Stegostoma tigrinum: one gene and its partner. The protein of the gene in region 2 purifies or fractionates together with the protein of the main gene of each other region. This does not show direct contact. Links are inferred from orthologs where the notes say so. Each region holds a gene or a part of one and is shown on either strand. Other genes may lie near its edges. The genes, in order: sufu and gli2a.

Region 1 (10,541 bases), on a different chromosome or scaffold from region 2:
CACAGTTATTGACACTGGATTGTGCCTGAGAGTCCTTACTCGTGGTCTAGTGGTTTTCAATCAGTGTGCTGCAACAAAGTGAGAAGTGCATGACAAAATTTTCAGGAAGTAGCATTGCTTTACCTGAGTGTTGAGGCTGTGTACATAGCTTCTGATCTCTTCCAGAGTTTGGGTGTCTATTATTGAAGGCAATATGTGCTGACACTACGTGCCCCTATCAATTGCACATGCACAAGCCTCCAGAGCTGTGCATGCGTAGACTCATGTGACATGAAACAGTGCGTGTTGCCATGGAATTGTTTGTCTCATTGAAGTGTGCTTTGATACTGCAATGGTTGGGAACTGCTGCCTTACAGTATCAGTGTACTTTGTTGATTTCTGTGGCCTGACTTGAAGTTTTGTACATCAGATTTGTTCACTTTAGCCTTGTGTGTATAACCATTTCCAATAATAAGGTATTGTATTTGTCACAAATAAGAAAAGTAAAAGTTGTTCAAGATAAGTCTTCTGGTTGCCAGAATACCATGATCAGTGAATTTCTTGGACCAGAAGCAGTTACCAAACAGTAAAAAAAGACTTGCACTTATATTTTTGCATTTTCACATCCAACAGACCAGAAGCAATGTTTTCATTCTGCATTTGAGAAGGTTTTATTATTTTTAATACTAATAATTAGATGTTAATATGGAAGGCTAATCAGGAAGGCTAATGCAATATTGGCACTTATTTTTGAGGGGTTTGGATTATAAGCATAGGGAAGTCTTACTGCAACTGTACAATGTGCTGATGAGATGACATCTGGAGTACTGACAGGGGAGTTCAAAACTAGAGGGCATAGGCTTCAGGTGAAACGGAAAGGTTCAAGAGGGACCTAAGGGCAACATTTTCACGCAGAGAGTAGTGTATGTATGGAACAGCTGTCAGAGGAAATGGTGGAGACTGGTACAATTACAACATTTAAAAGGCATCTGGATGGGTACATGAATAGGAAGGGTTTAAAGGGACATGTTTCAAATGCTGGCAGGTGGGACTAGATGAATTTAGGATATCTGGTGGCAGGGATGAGTTGGTCTGAAGAATCTGTTTCCATGCTGTACAGCTCTATAACTCTACTGTGAGCAGTTTTGATCCCCTTATTTAAGGAAAGATATTATCTCAATAGACACAGTTCAGAGATGGTTCACTAGGATGATCCCTGGTATCGAGGGTTTGTCTGATGGGCAAAGGCTAAATAGGTTGGGAATCAATTAATTGGAATTTAGAAGAATGAGAGGTGATCTCATTGAAACATACAGCAAGCTCAAGGGGTTTGATTGGGTAAAGGCTGAGAGGATGTTTCCCCTCATGGGAGGCTCTAGGACCAGAGGATATATTCTCAGAATAAAGGGGTGTCAATTCAAAACTGAGATGAAGAGGAATTTTCTTCTCTCAGAGTTGTGGGAGTTTGGAATTCCTTGCCGGGACAGAGCATTTGTGTATATTTGAGGCTGAGACAGATAAATTCTTGATTGATAAGGGAATTAAAGGTCACGATAAGATATAGGAAAGTGGATATGAGGAATGTTCAATCAGCCATAATTCTATTGAATGATAGAGCAAGCTCAGAGGGGCCAAATCGCTATTCTTGTTCCTATTTCTTATAATCTTATTATGATCTTATGGAAACTGTCATGCATTGTTAAACGTCAAGAACCTATCAGTTTGCATATAGGCAAGTTATTTGGATTGTGCCCAAATCAGGAAGTGAATGCTTTGTTGTTAGTGTTAATCTGTCTTTACATGGTTACAATGTCAATGACGCTGAGGTATGAATACTCATCAACTATGTTATTTAGAACTGTATCTTTGAAAATGATTGTGAGCTGAAATACGATGCTGTTTTAGCACAATATGCTTCATTCAGTTAGACTTAGATTCCACAATTAGTATTTGAATTAGAAATTGCATTATTCATGTGCAAACATCACAGAATGCAGCATGGTAAACATAAGATTGTTTCCTCTGAACAATTTTCAGACCAATTCTGAATAAAAAGTACTGGAACATATAATTGTTTTCTTCAGTTCTGGTACCATCACCAACTTTGTATTGGTGCTTCTGTGTTTCATTTTCATTCATGGAATTCATAGGCCATCAATCATCCATGATTGTCCGAAAGGTGGTGATGAGCTGCCTCTTTAAACAGGTGCAGTCATAGAGAAATACAGCATAGAAACAGATTTTTTGGTCCAACTTGTCCATGCTTACCAAGTTTCCAAAACTATACCAGTCCCATTTGCTTGTGTTTGGCTCCTTTCCACTTATGTACCTGCCCAAATGTCTTTTAAATGTTGTAACTGTACCTGCGTCTACCACTACCTTTGGCCGTTTATTCCACATATGAATCACTCTCTGTTCAAAAAAGTTGCCCCTCATGTCCTTTTTAAATCTTTCTCCTCCCATCTTCAAAATATGCACCCTGGTCTTGAACTCCCCCCAACCCTAGGGAAAAGACCTTTGCTATACACCTTATCTATTGTCCTCATGATTTTATAAATGTCTAAAAGGTCATCCCTCAACCTCCCATGCTCCAGTGAAAAATGTCCCAGTCTATCCAGCATCACCTCACAACTCAAGCCTTCCAGTCCTGGTAACATCCTTAGAATAGAATCAAAGAAGAGAATCCCTACAGTATGGAAACAGGCCCTTTGGCCCATCTAGTCCACACCGGCCATCAGAGCATCTCATCCAGACCCATCTCCCACGTAATCTATACATCCCAAAACACTACAGACAATTTAGCATAGCCAATCCACCTAATCTGCACATTTTTGGAACGTGGGAGGAAAGCGGAGTACCCGGAGGAAACCCACGCAGAGACAGGGAGGATGTACAAACTCCACACAGACAGTTGCCCGAGGGTGGAATCGAATCCAGGTCCCTGGTGCTGTGAGGTAGTGCTAAACACTGAGCCACTGTGCCGCCCAATAGTTGGCAGCAGTGGGATATCCTTGTAAATCTTCTATGCACCCTCTCCAATTTAACAATATTCTTCCTATAGCAGGGTTACTAGAACTGTACACAGTATTCCAAAAGTGGCCTCATCAACATCCTTTACTACCGCAATATGACGTCTCACCGCCTATACTCAATGGTCTGAGCAATGAAACAGGCATGCCAAATGTCTTCTTTACATCCTGTTGCAACTTTCAAACAACTAGTACCTGAACTCCTAGGTGTCTCTGTTTGAAAGCACCTAACCAGGGCCCTATCATTAACTGATAACCAAGTGTGGAGCTGGATGAACACAGCAGGCCAAGCAGCAGCAGTTCCCATTATCTCTAAGTCCTGCCCTTATTTGCCTTACAAGAATGAAATACCTTATAATTATGTAAATTAGACTCCAGCTGCCACTCCTGGGCCCATTGGTCCATTTGATCAAGACCTCTTTGTCATCTTAGATAACCTTCTTCACTGTCGACCATACCACCAACATTGGTGTCAGCCACAGACTTATTAACCATGCTTCCTAAATTCCCATCCAAATTGTTTATATAAATGACATTCACTAGTAGACTAATCACTGATCCCTGCAGAACACCGCTGGTCATAGGCCTCCAGTCCGAAAAAAAAATACCCTCCTCCATCACCCTCTATCTCCTACTGTCAAGCCAATTTTGTACTTAATTGACAAGCTCTCCCTGAATCCCATGTGATCTAACTAAACTGACCAGTCTACCATGAAGAACATTGTCAAAGGCTTTTGGCACCGCAATAGTGAAGGAATAGCGATGCAGTTCCAAGTCTGGATGGTATGTGGCTTGGTGAGAAACTTGTGGGTGGTTGCGTTCTAATGCATCTGCTGCCCCTGTCCTTCTGTATGGTAGAGGTCACAAGTTTGGTAGCTGCTGTCAAAAAAATTTTGGGTGAGTTCTGCACATCTTGTAGATGCTACACACCGTTGCCACTGTGTTTCTGTGGTGAAGAGAAAGAATGCAGAAGGTGATGGGTTTAGTGCCAATCAAGTGGGGTGTTTCATGGAATCCCTACATTGCAGAAAGAGGCCATTTGGCCCATTGAGTCTGCACCACCACCCGAAGAGCATCCCATCAGACCCTCCCTATCCCTGTCATCCCACATCTACCACGGCTCATAACCCCCCTAGCCTGGGCACCCGTGGATACCACATGACAATTTAAAATAGCCAATCCACATAACCTGCACTTCTTTGCAATGTGGAAACAAACCGGAGCACCAGAGGAAATCCATGCAGACACGGGAAGAACGTGCAAACTCCACACAGACAGTTACCCAAGGATGGATTCAAACCTGAGATCCTGGTGCTATAAGGTAGCAGTGCTTACCACTGAGCCACTGTGTCCTGGTATTTATTTGTAAATATGTTCAATTATTATTTTTATCATGAACACGATGGTCAGTCTACTGTCTTTCAGAATTGACAGCATAACTAAAATGGCTTGGATTTTGTGGTGAGGCAAAGCAACAGGTAAAGTGAGATAGAATCATTAGGGAGAGGGCAAGAGTGCTTAAGGAGCATTGTGGAGGGTTAGACAAGAAGCATTAGCAGCAGGGCAAGGGGCAGCGAGAGAGAGAGAGAGACAGTGTAAGTGTGGGAAGGAGGGTATAGTAGGACAATGTCAGGAACAAGATAACGGGTAGAGTGAGAGAAACAGGAATGCAGTTAATGGTAAAGGGGACAACTAGCATGAGGGACAAATGAAGCTTAGCACCTGTACTGTGAAGGGGTTGGTTGGCAGCAATGAACAGTTGAGCACAGGCAACATGAGGGACAGGAATTGATTGGGAACGAGGGGTAGGGGAATCATTGGCAGTGCAACAGACAAGCATTCAATTGGCAGCAGCAGCGTGATGGGCAGTGATTTAGGAGCATGATGGACAGAGGACTGTTGAGAGCACAAGGGGAGGACATGGGGGGGGCAGTTGGCAATGTGAGGGGATGTCAGGGGACAGTCGGCAGTGTGAGGGGAAGACATGGGGGAGGGAAGCAATCGGCAGTGTGAAGGGAAAACATGGGGAAGGGTGGCAGTTGGCAATGTGAGGGGAGGACTTGGAGGGCAGTTGGCAGTGTGATGGGAGGACATGGGGGCAGTTGGCAATGTGAGGTGAGGACATGGGGGGCAGTTGGCAGTGTGACGGGAGGACATGGGGAAGGGTGGCAGTGTGACGGGAGGACATGGGGAAGGGTGGCAGTTGGCAGTGTGAGGGGAGGACATAGGGGGAAGTTGGCAGTGTGAGGGGAGGCCATGGGGGAAGGGGCAGTTGGCAGTGTGAGGGGAGGACATAGGAGGAAGTTGGCAGTGTGAGGGGAGGCCATGGGGGAAGGGGCAGTTGGCAGTGTGATGGGAGAACATGGGGGCAGTTGGCAATGTGAGGGGAGGACATGGGGGCAGTTGGCAATGTGAGGTGAGGACATGGGGGGCAGTTGGCAGTGTGACGGGAGGACATGGGGAAGGGTGGCAGTTGGCAGTGTGAGGGGAGGACATAGGGGGAAGTTGGCAGTGTGAGGGGAGGCCATGGGGGAAGGGGCAGTTGGCAGTGTGAGGGGAGGACATGGGGGAAGGGGCAGTTGGCAGTGTGAGGGGAGGACATGGGGGGGCAGCTGGCAATGTGAGGAGAGGACATCGAGGGCAGCTGGCAGTGTGAGGGGGGGAACATGGGGGAAGGGGCAGTTGGCAGTGTGAGGGGAGGACATGGGGAAGGGTGGCAGTTGGCAGTGTGAGGGGAGGACATGGGGGGGCAGCTGGCAATGTGAGGAGAGGACATCGAGGGCAGCTGGCAGTGTGAGGGGGGGAACATGGGGGAAGGGGCAGTTGGCAGCGTGAGGGGAGGACATGGGGAAGGGCGGCAGGTGGCAGCCGCAGCGGCGCGAGCGGGCGGCGGTTACGGAGCGAATCAGCGCGAGCGCGGGCGGGTGGGGGAGGTGGAGGAGGGGGGGGAAGGGAGGTGAGAGCGGGGACGGCTTGGCCCGGAACGGAAGGACGGGTCGGCTGACGAGTTTGACGCTTCGTTGGGGTCGAGCGCGGTGGACGCCCGAATTCCAGAGAGAGAGAGAGAGACAGGATCCACCTTCAGGCCGAGGGACACCCACAACATTCCCGGGTAGACCGGCGCTGGGACAGCCGAGCCGATGGAGGAGTTGCGGCCTAGCGGCCCCGGCATTGCGGCGCTCCTGCCTCCGGGTTTGCACGCTATCTATCAGGAGTGCAGACGACTTTACTCGGACCAGCCGAACCCACTGCAGGTCACCGCCATCGTAAAGTACTGGTAAGTCCCCGACTCCTGCGCTCTCTCCTCACCGGTTGGTCTCCAGCCCGTTTCCCGAGGCCCCATGCCCGAGAACGATTAACTTAGTGTAAATCAAGGCAATAAAACGGTTTCCATTTGAGGAATATAAACGCACACTTTTTCTCTGCAATGTTTAAAGTTCAATTTTCCCCTCCCTCACTTTTCAAAAAGTTTATGGCAGCTTCGGGGAAAAGAATGTTTTCATTATTTTGTGTTTTGATGATGGGAGTTGGCGCTATACTGTTTACCTTTCCAAATTCAGAAAATACATTCTGTACCGATATCATCTGTTTAACCCTTTTTGCAGAACTGGATCTACCATCCTACCTAAGGCAAACTATAAATAAACAACTGCAGTTTTTACATAAGTATCTGGAGCTTGCTATGCACGTCGTTGTGGAAGAACTTTTGTTTTTATCATTTGAGTTGATTTCAACGAGAAATGGTCTAATAAACAAGGTACAAAAAGGGGTAACAATTTTTGTCTTTTCTAGTCAATTTTTCCACAACAAAAAACGGTAGCCAGCAAACGCCTTTTTATCATCAGCACATAGGCAAATCCAATCATTTTCTCTAATTCCAAAAGTAAACCATCCTTTGAGAATTTTCAACTTGAACTGGTAAAACTATTAGTAATTTTGCTGCAGTTTTTAAAAAAAATGCAGAATACATAGTCAAAATTCAACCTGCTTAAGAATATTTGACTGAACACCTTTTTATAATGTGTGGTAGAAATATTGATCCGTTAACAAACGACTAAGAATAAATTGAGATTTTATGAAAGTTGATTTAGAATTTTAAACTGTCATGTATTTTCATTGACAGTGTGAATTTCAAATATTAGTTAAAAACCAATTTGTACTATGTTACCATAAATTAGTTGTCCTCTGCTGAGTATCATTCAGCACTTGTGAACTTGATGAAAGGAGAAGTTTTGATTTATTTCAGTAGCTATGCATCTAATGTAGGGTTCACTTGTGGTTTTATGTTTGGGACATATTTCCCTATACAGATCAAGGATGGTCTATCCATTGAATGATGGATTTGGATCTCTTGAGGCATTTAATTTTGAATGTTATTGTTTCCATATGCTAGGATATCCTACACAGCATGTGTCCTATTCTGTAGTTTTGGGTAGTCTTGTCTTTTTATGCTGGCCTATAAATTTATTCAAAAAATGTTGGCAAGTTTGATTATTTTGGAAAATAACTATTGAATGTATAAAGGGAAATTGTAAAGGACGATTCTAACTTTTGACCTCTTTGTACACAAATCTACCTAAATTTGCTTTCTATCTGACTGTCTTCTTATTGTTGGTACTTGCTTTGTCTTTATCTTTAGTGTCCTTTCTCTCTAATCTCAAGGCCTAACTACCTGATACAGCACAGATCATGAATTCTGTTAGATTTTATGGGAAGTTACATGATGGTAAACAATGACTGCATGATAACTGGTGAGGAAGAAATTTGTAGAGATCCACAAACTCCCCAGTGAATATAACTTTCTCGAGCCCCTCCTCCTTCAAGTTTCAAGACTCCTTGTAGAAATATCTGTATCATCTATAACTGGGTGAGGTGCCTGATGGCAGGAGGGTGGCTAATATTGGACCTTTGTGTAAGATGGGTTGTAAGGAGAAACTGGGGAGCTGTAGACCTGAGAGTCTGATTTCACTTGTAGGTAAATTGTTGGAGGTGATTATAAAAGATAGGATTTATGGACATTTAGAGAGGCAAAAATTGATAAGTCAAAGTCAGCATGGTTTTGTGTGAGGAAAATCATGTCTCACAAACTTGACTGAGTTTTTTGAAAAAAGTTACTAAAAGGGTTGACAGAGGAGCAGACGTTTATTTGGATTTTAGTAAAGCCTTTGACAAGGTTCTACATAGTAAACTAAATAGTAAAGTTAGGTCACATGGGAATCTTGGTGACCTTGCCAATTGGCTACATAATTGGCTTAATGGAAGGAGACAGAATAATGGTGGAACGTTGCTTTTTGGGCCGGAGGCCTGTGACCGACGGTGTTCCGCAGGGGTCGGTTATGAGTCCTGTTTTGTTTGTCATTTATATAAATGATTGGCTGAGATTATAGAAGGCATGGTTAGTAAGTTTGTGGATGACACCAAAGTTGTTGGCGTCGTAGGCAGTGAAGAGGGCTTTCTGCAGATTACGGAGGGGTCTTTATCAAATGGGTCAATGGGCTGAAAAATGGATAAGTACAAGGTGTTGCATTTTGGTGCAGCTGACAAGGCTAGGGCTTATACAGTTAATAGTAGGGCCTTGGGTGGTGTTGTAGAACAGGAGGACCTAGGAGTCCAGATATACAAATCTTTAGAGTTGTGTCACACACAGACAGGATGGTTAAAAAAGTGTTTGGCACACATGCCTTCATTGCTTGGTCCTTAGTGTATAGGAGTTGGGACATTATGTTGAGATTGTACAGGACGTTGGTGAGGCTTCTTCTGGAATAGAGTGTCCGGTTCTGATTGCCCAGTTATAGGAAGGATATTATCAATCTGGAGAGGGTTCAGAAGGTATTCAGCAGGATATACGAGGTATGAAAGGTTTGAGTTATAAGGAAATGCTGGATAGACTGGGACTTTTTTTTTCCACTGGAGTTTAGGAGGTTGAGAAGTGACCTGATAGAAGATTTTATAAAATAAAGAAAGGTCTATTTAAAGTCTTTGTAAGATTTGTAACTCGGGTTGTGGATGATGATGTAGACTTGCTGAGCTGGTGTGTTTGGTTGCAGACATTTTGAAACTTTGCTAGGTAACATGGCCAGTGTGCTACTGTTGAAGAAGAAACATCTGCAATCAAACTAAAATAACAAATTGTGGAGCTGGATAAACACAGCAGGCCAAGCAGCATCTCGGGAGCACAAAAGCTGACGTTTCGGGCCTAGACCCTTCATCAGAGAGGGGGATGGGGAGAGGGTTCTGGAATAAATAGGGAGAGAGGGGGAGGCAGAGCGAAGATGGAGAGAAGCGGAGAGTATAGGTGGGGAGGTAGGGAGGGCATAGGTCAGTCCAGGGAAGATGGACAGGTCAAGGAGGTGGGATGAGGTTAGTAGGTAGGAGATGGTGGTGCGGCTTGAGATGGGAGGAAGAGATGGGTGAGAGGAAGAACAGGTTAGGGAGGCAGAGACAGGCTGGGCTAGTTTTGGGATGCAGTTGGGGGAGGGGATGAGCTGGGCTGGTTTTGGGATGCGGTGGGGCAAGGGGCGATTTTGAAGCTGGTGAAGTCCACATTGATACCATTGGGCTGCAGGGTTCCCAAGCGGAATATGAGTTACTGTTCCTGCAACCTTCGGGTGGCATCCTTGTGGCACTGCAAGACACCCATGATGGACATGTCGTCTGAAGAATGGGAGGGGGAGTTAAAATGGTTTGCGACTGGGAGGTGCCGCTATTTCTTGCGAACCGAGCGGAGGTGTTCTGCAAAGCGGTCCCCAAGCTTCCGCTTGGTTTCCCCAATGTAGAGGAAGCCACACCAGGTGCAATGGATACAGTATACCACATTGGCAGATGTGCCGGTGAACTTCTGCTTAATGTGGAAAGTCATCTTGGGGCCTGGGATGGGGGTGAGGGAGGCGGTGTGGGGGCAAGTGTAGCACTTCCTGCGGTTGCAGGGGAAGGTGTTGTGGGGTTGGAGGGGAGTGTGGAGCGAACAAGGGAGTCACGGAGAGAGTGGTCTCTCTGGAAGGCAGACAAGGGTGGGGATGGAAAAATGGCTTGGGTGGTGGGTTCAGATTGTAGATGGCGGAAGTGTCGGAGGATGATGCGTTGTATCCGGAAGTTGGTGGGGTGGTGTGTGAGAACGAGGGGGATCCTCTTTTGGCGGTTGTGGCGGGGTCGGGGTGTGAGGGATGTGTTGCGGGAAATGCGGGAGACGCGGTCAAGGGTGTTCTCGACCACTGCCGGGGGAAAGTTGCAGGCTTTGAAGAGCTTGGACATCTGGGATGTGCGGGAGTGGAATGCCTCATCCTGGGAACAGATGCAGCGGAGGCGGAGGAATTGGAAATAGGGAATGGAATTAAACTCGCTGGCTTGGCGAACAAGTCTACAACCTAATGAAAGATACAGTTAGAGTTGATAGTAGTTGTCTTTTCCCTAAGTTGGGGGATTTCAAGACTGTGGGCCCATCTCTAAAGTGAGAGGAGGAAGGTTTAAAAAAGACAGCAGGTAAATTTTTTTAACACAGTAGGTGGTTCCTGTGTGAAATGAACTTCCTGATGA
Region 2 (10,784 bases):
AGAGAGTTTACCAATGAGCTACTTTTCGGCATTATTTATGATTATAGGTAAAACTCAAGACATTTAGTTATGCTAAACACATTGCAAGAGCAGACAGAAACAACAGCAGAAATTGCTGGAAGAGCTCAGCAGGTCTGGCAACATCTGAGGAAAAAAAATCAGAGTTAACATTTCAGATCCAGTGACCCTTCGTATGAACAGAAGAAGAGCAGATAGTGCAGGTTTCATCACTTACAGGATGTTGGTGAGGCCACTTCTGGAGTGCTGTGTACAGTTCTGGTTGTCCTGTTATAGGAAGGATATTAATAAATTGGACAGGATTCAGAAAAGATTTACTAGGATGTTGCCCAGACTGGAGGGTTTGAGTGATAAGACAGGCTGGATAGGCTGGGAACTTTGTCATTGCAGCTTGGGAGGTCGAAGGGTGACCTCGTAGAGATTTACAAAATCATGAGGGCATAGACAAGGTGAATAGCTAAGGTCTTTTCCCCAGGGTAGGGGAGTTCAAAATTAAGGGGAAATTTTTTAAGGTTAAAGGAGGAAGATTTAAAAGGGACCTGAAGGGAAATTTTTTCACACAGAGGGTGGTTCACATGAGAAATGAACTGCCAGAGGAATTGGTAGATGGAGATACAATTACAATGTTTAAAAGACATATGGACAGGTACATGAATAGGAAAGCTTTAGAGGAATATGGGCCAAATGCAGGCAAATGAGACTAGTTTAGTTTGGGAAACTTGTTCTGCATGGATGAGTTGGGCTGAAGGGTCTGTTTCCATGTTGTATGACTCTTTAGAATCAAAAAATGGTGATGTATTTAACAATTTCTAAAGCCAGAAAGATGTGTTTATATAAAGATTGAAAATTTTGTTTGATCATCAATGTTATGTGGATAAAGTCGCATAGATACATAATGATTTCTTCCAAAGCTAGTGGTAAGGGACACTAACAATTGCTAAACTATCCTGCAAATTACTTTATCAGATTAGCAATCTTTTTGTATAATTATTTAGAGCGCAAGCTACTAAATCAATAGTGCCAGTGTCGGTAACTATGTCACCATGGCTAGGGCATCTGTGCACAACAACAAAATTTAATCAGAATTGAAGAATGACCGAAAAACTGAAAGCAAAATAACTGAAAGATTTCACTGAACCAGTAGATGCAAAGCCTGCTGCTCAGATTTACGAAACAAATTTTAACAGATTTCACAGAAGGCTGCATCTGAAACTGCAATCCACTGACAGAGGCTCCACATATTGATAAGACACTAAGTGGTGTGAAAACTTGGAGCAAATATTGCTGTAGCTTTTCAGTTAACTTGTGGCATTAACTTAGCAAGAGGCACACTGCACATTCTGTGGTGCTGCATTTTGTGGGGCACTGCGCTAGCAGTTAACATTCGCCTTAAAAAGGGCAATGCAAGACAATCTGAAGAGCTATTTTATGACCTTCAGCATGATCCATCAACTACAGAATAGTCCAACAGTAATAATCATTACGAGTTCCAGGAACACTGCAAGAGACAGGCCATTTAAAACTGAGGTGAGGAAAAATAGCTTCTGCAGATGGTGAACCTTTGGAATTCTTGGCCACAGGGCTGGGATGTCCAGTCATTGAGGTGTTCAAGTTGGAGTTTAATCCATTCCTAGATATTAAAGACAACATTGCAGCCTGAGGGATGAACCTATAGAGCTTTATAAAATCATGTGGGGCATGGGCAGGGTGAATAGCTGAGGTCTTTTTCCAGGGTAAGGGAGTCCAAACCTAAAAGACATAAGTTTAAGATAAGAAGGGAAAGATATTAAAGAGACCTAAGGGGCAACATTTTCATGCAAACAGTGCTGTATGTATTAAATGAACTGCCAGATGAAGTGCTGGAGTCTGGTACAATTACGACATTTAAAAGACATCTGGAAGAATGCATGAATAGGAAGGATTTAGAGCGATATGGGCCCAACGCCGGCAAATGGTACTAGACTACTTTAGTATCTAACCAGCATGGGCGAGTGAGACCGAAGGGTCTGTTTCTGTGCTGTACATGTCTATGAGTCTATGACTCTGGGATATTGAGAGATGTAAGGACAGTGCAGAATAATGGCATTGAGGTAGAAGATCAGTGTGATCTATTTGATTGTTATATCAGTTTTGACAGGCTGAATGGCCTCCTCCTTCTCCTATTTACTTTGTTCTTGTGGTCTGACTGCAGTAAATAAGTGACCAGTAGAATGCCATCTAAATGGTGTTGTCAGCACTGGGTGTCGTATATGCACCCAGATCGGGAGGGCTTTTAAGGAAGTTAATATGTGTGGGGTTTCCCATGCTTTTCATCATAAGATCTCTACGTAATACAGCTCCAAGTGCCCACAAAACTTGTATCCATTCTGCTACTATTAGCACAGCATAATGATGTGTTCATTCAAAATCACAATCATTGGTATGATACACCTACTGTTCTACCTTATCACTGCGTCAATCGTTCACTGTAAAGTAGTACATTCAAGAGTATCAAGGGCACTTGGGTGTACATCTTATAGATATATAAGCGTGCCACTGTGTAAACTGAGCTCAACTTCTGTGGTAGCCTCTTTTTACTTGCCAGGAGCAAAAACTTAAAAAGTAACTGCCAGACGAGTTCAGTATTTAAAATTACAGAACAGTGCTGCAGATCAAGTGAGAGAGCTAGAGGATGATTTTCTTTTCCAGAGGCTTGCTTACTGCTACATCTACATTATTGGAAAAAAAACTTGAGCTCCAGCAAACGTGCAAGATTATTAAACCAATGTTTCCACATGTCGAATCTACCATTATTTAAAATGCTTCTGTGGCACTAAGAAGCATCAGTCACGCAAATTGCTTCAGATACACCATAAACTGTTTTTAAAAACACACCACAAATTGTAAACAGGAGTAAACATTTGTATCAAAGGTCATTTTCAAGACGCTGATGCTTTAATGACATTGTAAGCAATGAACACCATTTAATTAAGCCAGTTCCAATGAACTGACTCTTTTAACAAAACACAGCTGATCTGAACAACTTGTCTGAATTTATGTTTCATGTTATCCGACCTTATATTCCATTTTGAAAATGACCTGACAGCACACAGTAAACAGTATGAGAATTTAACTGTGAATCAAACAATTAGATCTATTCAGAATGCTTCTATACTTAGCGAAGGAACACATTACTTCATCGTCCACTGAGGACTGACTAGGTATTCACTTTGAAAATGTTTCATAACGTGGATGTAAATATAAATTCAACTCTTTTAAAAGCTGCATCATCCTTAAAAGAGCATTAGAGGCTGGAATGCTTAGCTTACAGGGCAGAATGAGCGCTGCCTGCATATGCACACACAAAGCATTTTTGGAAACCAAAGATGGTCTATACCAGGTCAAATTGGTGCCAGTGAGAAATGCAAGTTGGACCCAATTCAGGATTCAGTGTTCCCAGAAATGGAAACTTCTGAGGAGAAAACTTTTACATGAGTGAGCCAAAATGTTTTCTACTCTCCCGGTGTATTTTAAGAGCAAATGCTCTGGCCGTGGTGTGTTTGTACAATTAAATTGGCTCCATAATTGATGTGATACGGGTCTCAGAGGAGCACAAAGAATTTTAGCAATGTGTGTATTTCAGATAGCACTGAAGGGTTGTGTCAATTATCACTCTGCCAACTGGACAGAGGCCGTTATTGGTCAGCACACATACCCACATAGAATATACACATATAAGACCTGTGCGTGTAAAATTACAACAACTGCTTTGAAAGTCATTACATAAAAGTAACACCTCACAACCATCATCTTTTTGTTATATCCCGGGAGCACTATCCCTTTAAGAGCCACTCTGACCTTAAGTGTGGCAAAGTTGATCTCATTTGAACTGAACTGTTTAAGAAAAGGGACCAAATTTTACCACGAGTCAGAACGATATACTCCTGTCAGGCAACACACCACGATCGCTCAGTGAAAGTAAACGTGTAATTAAAATAGGTTTGCGCTTCTTAATTGCGAGTGGTGCCAAAACGTGCAATTAATTCCAGGGCAAGACTGGGGAAAATGCATCATTAAAATAATTTTACTGGTGGAGGGAAATAATTCCTAAGTGCTTCATGCAGCAAACAAAAAACCAGTTGCATTCTGTCCGTGGTCTTTGCATCGCTAGTTACAGAGAGTTTAGTAGGGTTTGGCAGAAAGAGCATTTACTGTCACACTTTGGTCCCTAAAATAGTCTTTTATGTAAACACGGGACTCCTTAAAAAGCTCAGAAAAAAATGACACATGCAAAGGTAGCAAGTGAATCCCATGCATAACATCCATTACTGTCGGAGAAAACAAAACTGCACGAACTCGGCTGACAATGACAACAAAAAAAAGTTGCTAAACTGGCCGGTCCAACTTTTTCCCCTCCATCCCCCCGCAAGACGCACACAGTCACACTGGAAACTCTGGGTTGGGTCTCGCACAAATTCCCCCGATTCTCCCCTTTAACTCCGTAATGAGACTGGCGCCCGACTCTTAACCAAATACTCATCCAGAGAGAAAAAAAAATGGGATCAGGTTGCAAAAAGCAGAACATTTTTGGAATTCCATAAAAGGTAAAATGGGACAAAAGGAGGCAGGAGCTGGAATGGGTTAGAAATACAATTTTAAAAAAAGTCGACACGGGGCAATGGGGCTTTGAAGCAAAATGAAAACTTTGAGGGCATTTGATTGCTAAAGTCACGGTCTGCTGTGAATCATAATTCCAACTACCCCAACTTCCCAACACACAGCCGAGCCAAACAGGGACCGCTAAAGTTTTGAAAAATGATGATTACAATAGCAATGCAGTCTTCGGTAAACACAGAGGTACCATTCTCTCAACTAAAAACAGGAGGGGTAAATACAAAACGTTACCTGTTTGTAATGAAGAGCTTCTGTTTTGATTATCTGATCATTTGTTGAAAGGCTTCAAACTGGAAGAAATAACTATATCAAAACAAAAACAAACTTATACAGAAGATTTGTTTAAAAAAAACTCGTGGAACCGTTATCATCAACGATAGGACGCTTTTTGCAAACAAAAACAAAGAAAAATCCACGCTTTAAAGCTCTCCAAAAGATCTGAAAGCAAAGAAATCCGGGAGCCGGTCTCTCTCAGCGTGTGTATTTTTCTTTTTTTGCAGAATAAAAGGAATGAATTCAGTCGCAGAGTTTGGCGAGTTGGGGCGGCTGCCGGCGTGTCTGTACTGCGATTCTTCAGACAAGATACAGGAGGGCAAAAAAAACTTTCCCCTCTCGACTCAACGCGCAGAAAGAGGGAGGAGAGTGGACAATTCAACAAACTTTCTCTCTCTCTCTCTCTCTCTTCCTCCCTCTGCCTCACCAGTTCGCAGTTTTCAGCTCCAGAAAAGGCAGTCCCTGAATTACTTACTCCTGTCCCCCCTCCCCTCCCCTCTCTCTTATCTGATTATCTCACTCCTTCTCCCCGGTGAGTCCTCAACGTTAGTTACTCAAAGCGCTTTGTTGCCAAAAACGCACTTTCAGACACGCAGGAATGGATTTGGCAAAAGTTTTTCTCCATCCAACTCGTTTGTGTATATGTTTCTCGCCGTCTTTTCTATCTGCGTTCTCCAAATACCAAACTTGCTTTGTAATGAAAAAAAAGCAATGCCGATTTTTAAAAAAAAATTTGCAAGCATGCTGACCAAAATAAATTATTCCAAATTCTAGCATTGCGTTTTGTAATTTGTACTACACATTTTTAACACTATATTTACATCTTTTATGGTACTTAGGAGAAACCTTACACTTAGTCCAATCTCCACTTCTCAATTAAAATAAAAGACGAGATCAAATAATTGTGATGATTTATTACAATTCAGACTCAACTAGATGTGTAGAAGCCTAAACACAATGTTTTCGCTTCAGGATCGTTTATTGTCGGACTGTACAGGGCTGTATGTGAACCCAGAACTCTGGCTTTTCGAGCAGTTCTGTCTGATTTCACTGGCACTGATAGCTCCCCCTATTTTTGTGCTTTGCTGTCCTCTGCTGGCGTTACCATTCAATTCTGGACGAACCCAACTCTTGTGAAGGAACGCGGAGGCGCCATCCCCTGCTACCTGCTGGCTAAGTGAGGAGGAGCAGGAAGAGCGCAAACCCCTCGAGTATTTGCTTCCAACAATAGCTACTCAGCTTGTCTTTAATAAACAATTGCGGTTGTTAAAACAGCTACAGCCATAGTGTGGTAACGTGTCTTATATCGGGTTACAAGACTGCAGATTTTCATGGCTCGGAACATTGTCAACAAAACCTAAATCTGCAACGTGCAACATTATTTTCGTCAACATCATTAAGTTGATATACCAACTTTCAGAATAAAACATTAATTCTCCTCCAACTATTGTTTTCCTTTTAATGCCAGTGATTGTGGTTTTGTAGGAACATAATTCGAATTATCGAGAAGTTATAGCACACATTTGACCTAACCAGTTAGTTTCTGCCTGTGTTTATGAAACTCCTCCAGCTTGTCTTTACACATAGCGTCTTATTCCTTTACTGTCAGGTATTTAACTCACTTTTCCCTAAAGCACTTTTTAAAAGTGAAGTTCCTCTTGAAATTCTTATTGGATTTATTAGTGATCATCCTATATTGATAACCCCCAGTTTTGGATTTTCACGCAACAGAAATGTCATTTTGTTTGTCCTTTCAAACTCTTTGATAAGTTTAAAGGCCTGGAAAATCAACCAACAGCCTTCTTCTCTCAAGAGTAAAGAATTCAGGCCTCTTCAATCTTTCCCAAATAGGAGGTACAGACAAGATTTGAAGGACACCTATCAGCATCATGATGCACTCAGCTGTCAGGGTAGATGATACACTCAAGTTTAAGGACAGGGTGACAACCCCCAACTGTGTGACCCAGAATGGAACTCTGCCAACTGACTAACACATTACAGTCATGTGCTAATAAAACAATCTTTACAAAATATTAACTCATCAAAGCTCAGAGCTATACAATCTCATCCTTACACTTGATCTAATTATACAGCGTACACTAATAGCTGAAATTAAAATATTTTGTAATTATATATCGACTATAAATCATATACCAATAAATTATGTTTTAATCAGATGGCAACCCTTTCAAATCCTGTCACATCATTCAGCATATGAAAAATTAAATATTTATATTTAAAATTAACTAATGTAATCATCTATGAATATTATAAAGCTATAATACAATCAGACCAAATGATTATACAATACAGTCATGTAATTTGACATTTAGTCAACTAAATTGAACAGACCCATAAATATACTCTTATTAAGTGTAATCGAAATGTCTTATGTCTTGTGTCCAATCGAAAACAATTGGCCCCTTCTGACAGTATGTGGCCTTTATGTGTAATTTGAACAACAGCATTTATTTCCCATCTCTAATTGGCTTAGAGAAGGTGGTGAGTCCTTCTCGAATTGCCTCTGTCCATGTGGTGAATATACTCGAACAATATTTTGAGGTTTCAATTCAACCCAGTGATGATGAGCACCACATTTCCAAATCAGGGTTGCTTGACAGTGAACCTGAAGTTAATGGTATTTCCATTAGCTTGCTAAACTTTTCCTTTGATGTGGCAGAGATCACAGATTTGGGACGTTCTGCAGCAGAAACCTTGCTGCATTGCATCTTGTAGATGGTACACAGTGCAGACATGGCGTATCAGCATTGGAGAGGGTGAGTGGATAGGTGCCAATCAAGCAGACTAATTTTGTCCTGGATGGTGTTGATCTTCATGAGTGTTGTTCTTGTCTAGGCAAGTGGAATATTTCATCATCCTTCTCACTTGTGCTTTACAGCTGGAGAGTCAGGATGCAAATTATTTACCTCAGATTACGCAGCCTCTAACCTGGGTTTTGTAGTTACAATACATACATGGCTGATCCAGTTAAGCTTCTGGTTGAAGGTATTTCCTGGGATGTTGATGATGTGATTTTTATAATTGGTAAATATATCACACATTGGCTGATTATGAGATTGTGAGGTGTGTATATACACATTTTGAGCACATTGTTTTATGATATTAGCCAAGCTAATTGTGGCATTTAAGTCATTATGATTTAAACAAGTATTCAAAATAGTAATGAAGTTGATCATTTCCAGGCAGATTTAGATTGTGACATAAACAGTGGCCTTCTGCGTTGAACATTTCACAATTGTAATTGGATTTTTTGCACATACCTGAAACTCAAATGTTAATGCAGCACTATACCGAGGATGGTTTTACACTTTACAAGTTCTTATCCCTCAAAATTCTAAAGTTCCAAAAGTTGTGAAGGCTGAATGGTTGACAATATTTCAAGGTTGACGTGGACATATTCTTGAACTATGAGATAATGAAAGTTTATCAGGAGCAGGCAGGAATCTGGATTTGGGGCTAATATCCAATGGCAGAGTTGGTCCAATTACCGTACTACCTCTAATTCCTTTACATCCATAAGTAGGTAAATGAAGTTGCTTTAGTTAATGTTTTGTCTAACCAAATTGTGCAATGGGCTTTCAACTACAAATGATTAGAGGGTATTTTTGTTGCACATCTTTCCTGATACAAGTCACAAAGAATGAACATAAGGAGCGAAATATGGAAGAAGGTGGCTTATTGGATATTATCCACTTTATTCTACTACTTAAGATAAAACTTACCATTTTATACTAAGACCTATTAGGAATACTGATAGTTTTCAAATGCTATATCTGTGTAAGTTAACATTTTCTTCCTGTATTTTTCAAATTGTCCAAATTGCTATTCTTCAGCCTGAAAGTTGGCTATTGATGATTGTAACTTAAGAAGAAAATCAATGTATATCTTATTGATTTTTCTCCGTAGGGAGTTTAAACCATTCATCTGGCAAAGAGATGTTGACCAAATCCATTTAAAAAATCCCTAGCGACTATGTTCTGGAGCATATTCCCTATTTTCCTGTGGGAAAATAACTCATACTGAAATTTTCTGAGTTCATTCCCAGCAGAGAGTGGCCAAACATCTGAAGAATCAATGGTCTAATATTTCAGGCAGTAGGAATTCTCTGTTAGTCCTGAGAATCCAGTGGATCAGAAGCCACAGGCCATCACTGCAGGACTTTGTTAGGATTCTAAGCCCAAGCAGTGACATCTATTCCATCAGTGAGTTTCCCTTCATCATAGTAGGGGAAGGTCACTGATGATTGCATCATATTCAGTACTATTTGCAACTCCTTGGGTACTGAACCAATCCATATACAAATGCAACAAAACCTACACAACATGTTGGTTTTGACTGATAAGTAGCAAGTAGCATTCACATTGCATGACTGCTAGATCATGGCCAAATCCAACAAGACAGAGTACAGTCATCAACCTTGATACTCAATGGCTTTATAATTGCCAAAGCAGAGTTATTACAATGTATAAAGAGGCCTTTTGGCCATTCTGTCTACATTAACTCCTCAAGAGCATCATTACCTAGTGCAAATCTCTGGCTTTCTCCCCACACACACTCTTTATTTCTATCTAAATAATCATCATAAGCCCTCTTGGATGTCACATATAAATACTGTGGCTACAAGAGCAAATTAGAGGAAGATAATTCTGTGGCAAGTAATTCCATCCTCACTCCTTAAAGACTGTCCTCTATCTACAAGGCACAAGTCAGGAATAAGATGAAAAATTCACCACAGGCCTAGATGAGTGCAGCTCCAAGAGCACTCAAAACCATTGAAGATAAAACGGTCAATTAGACTGGCATCTAATACTTCAATTTTAATTCCCCCCCACTTCTGATGCATAGTAGCAGCAGTGTGTACCATCTACAAGATATAATGCAGCAGCTCTTCAAAGACTTCTTAGACAGCACATTCCATACCCATGATCTCTACCATTTGCAAGATTACCACATGGAAGAAGCAGGTTCATTCAAGAGGGCCTTTGAATAAAAATAATGTGCAAGGATATTGGGGAAAAAAGCAATAGATTGGCTTTGGGTAATGATGCTCATTTGAAGAACTGGTGAGCTGAATGCTCTCTTTCAAAACCGAGAGACTTCCATGACTTCTGCAATTCAGCATGGCAGCTGCAAGGGAATACCACTATCTGCAAGTTCAATACCAACCCTCTCACTATTTGGACGTGGAACTATGTCACAGTCCCTTCAGAGTCTCTGGGAAAAATTCCTGGAGCTCCCTTTCTAGCAGCACTGTGGCTGTACTGCCACCACATGAACTGTAGTGGTTTAAGAAGACAGCTCACCACCACTTCATTAAGGAGAATTAGAGATCAGCAATAAATGTTGGCCTACTCAATGACACCAGATTCTTTGAATGAAAAACAAAGAAGTACCAGATTGAAGTCCATGTTTTGTGACAGTGTGGACAATACAGCTGTTATTTGAGCAATTCAATGCACAGGGCCAAAGTGGGGAGTAAGAACTAAAAAGTGGCAAATACCGATTTCACCAACAGCGAGGACAGATAATAATGACAGGAGCAGATTTCTAAATGAGGTTAAGAATTTTAAAAGCAAGTTTAACTGGAAACCTGCCAGCATAGGGGTGATAGGTGAATAGAACTTGGTTCAAATAAAGTTACAGTTGGCAGAATTTAAGATGACCTTCAGTTTATGCAGGATCAGCAGCAAGGAATGGATGTTGAGTAGTCACGTATAGAGGGAACAATGGCATGTATGAAGGCTTTCAGCAGCAGATGAACTGAAACAGAAGCAGAGTCGAGCCATGTTATGAAGGTTGAAATATACCGTCTTAGTATT

The links.
Region 1: the proteins of gli2a (region 2) and sufu purify together in Homo sapiens (affinity purification with mass spectrometry; 3 studies listed by BioGRID and IntAct, with this or other methods). This does not show direct contact. The link is inferred for Stegostoma tigrinum from reciprocal best matches to the Homo sapiens genes GLI2 and SUFU.

The regions. Positions count from the first base shown.
Region 1 is NC_081373.1:7,323,063-7,333,603, forward strand, and holds the start of sufu (suppressor of fused homolog), read left to right. Parts: upstream 1-5,965; 5' UTR 5,966-6,148; coding exon 6,149-6,285; intron 6,286-10,541. UniProt on the Homo sapiens protein: Negative regulator in the hedgehog/smoothened signaling pathway. Down-regulates GLI1-mediated transactivation of target genes. Down-regulates GLI2-mediated transactivation of target genes. Part of a corepressor complex that acts on DNA-bound GLI1.
Region 2 is NC_081360.1:88,739,296-88,750,079, forward strand, and holds the start of gli2a (zinc finger protein GLI2a), read right to left. Parts: upstream 5,347-10,784; 5' UTR 4,903-5,346; intron 1-4,902. UniProt on the Homo sapiens protein: Functions as a transcription regulator in the hedgehog (Hh) pathway. Functions as a transcriptional activator. May also function as transcriptional repressor. Requires STK36 for full transcriptional activator activity.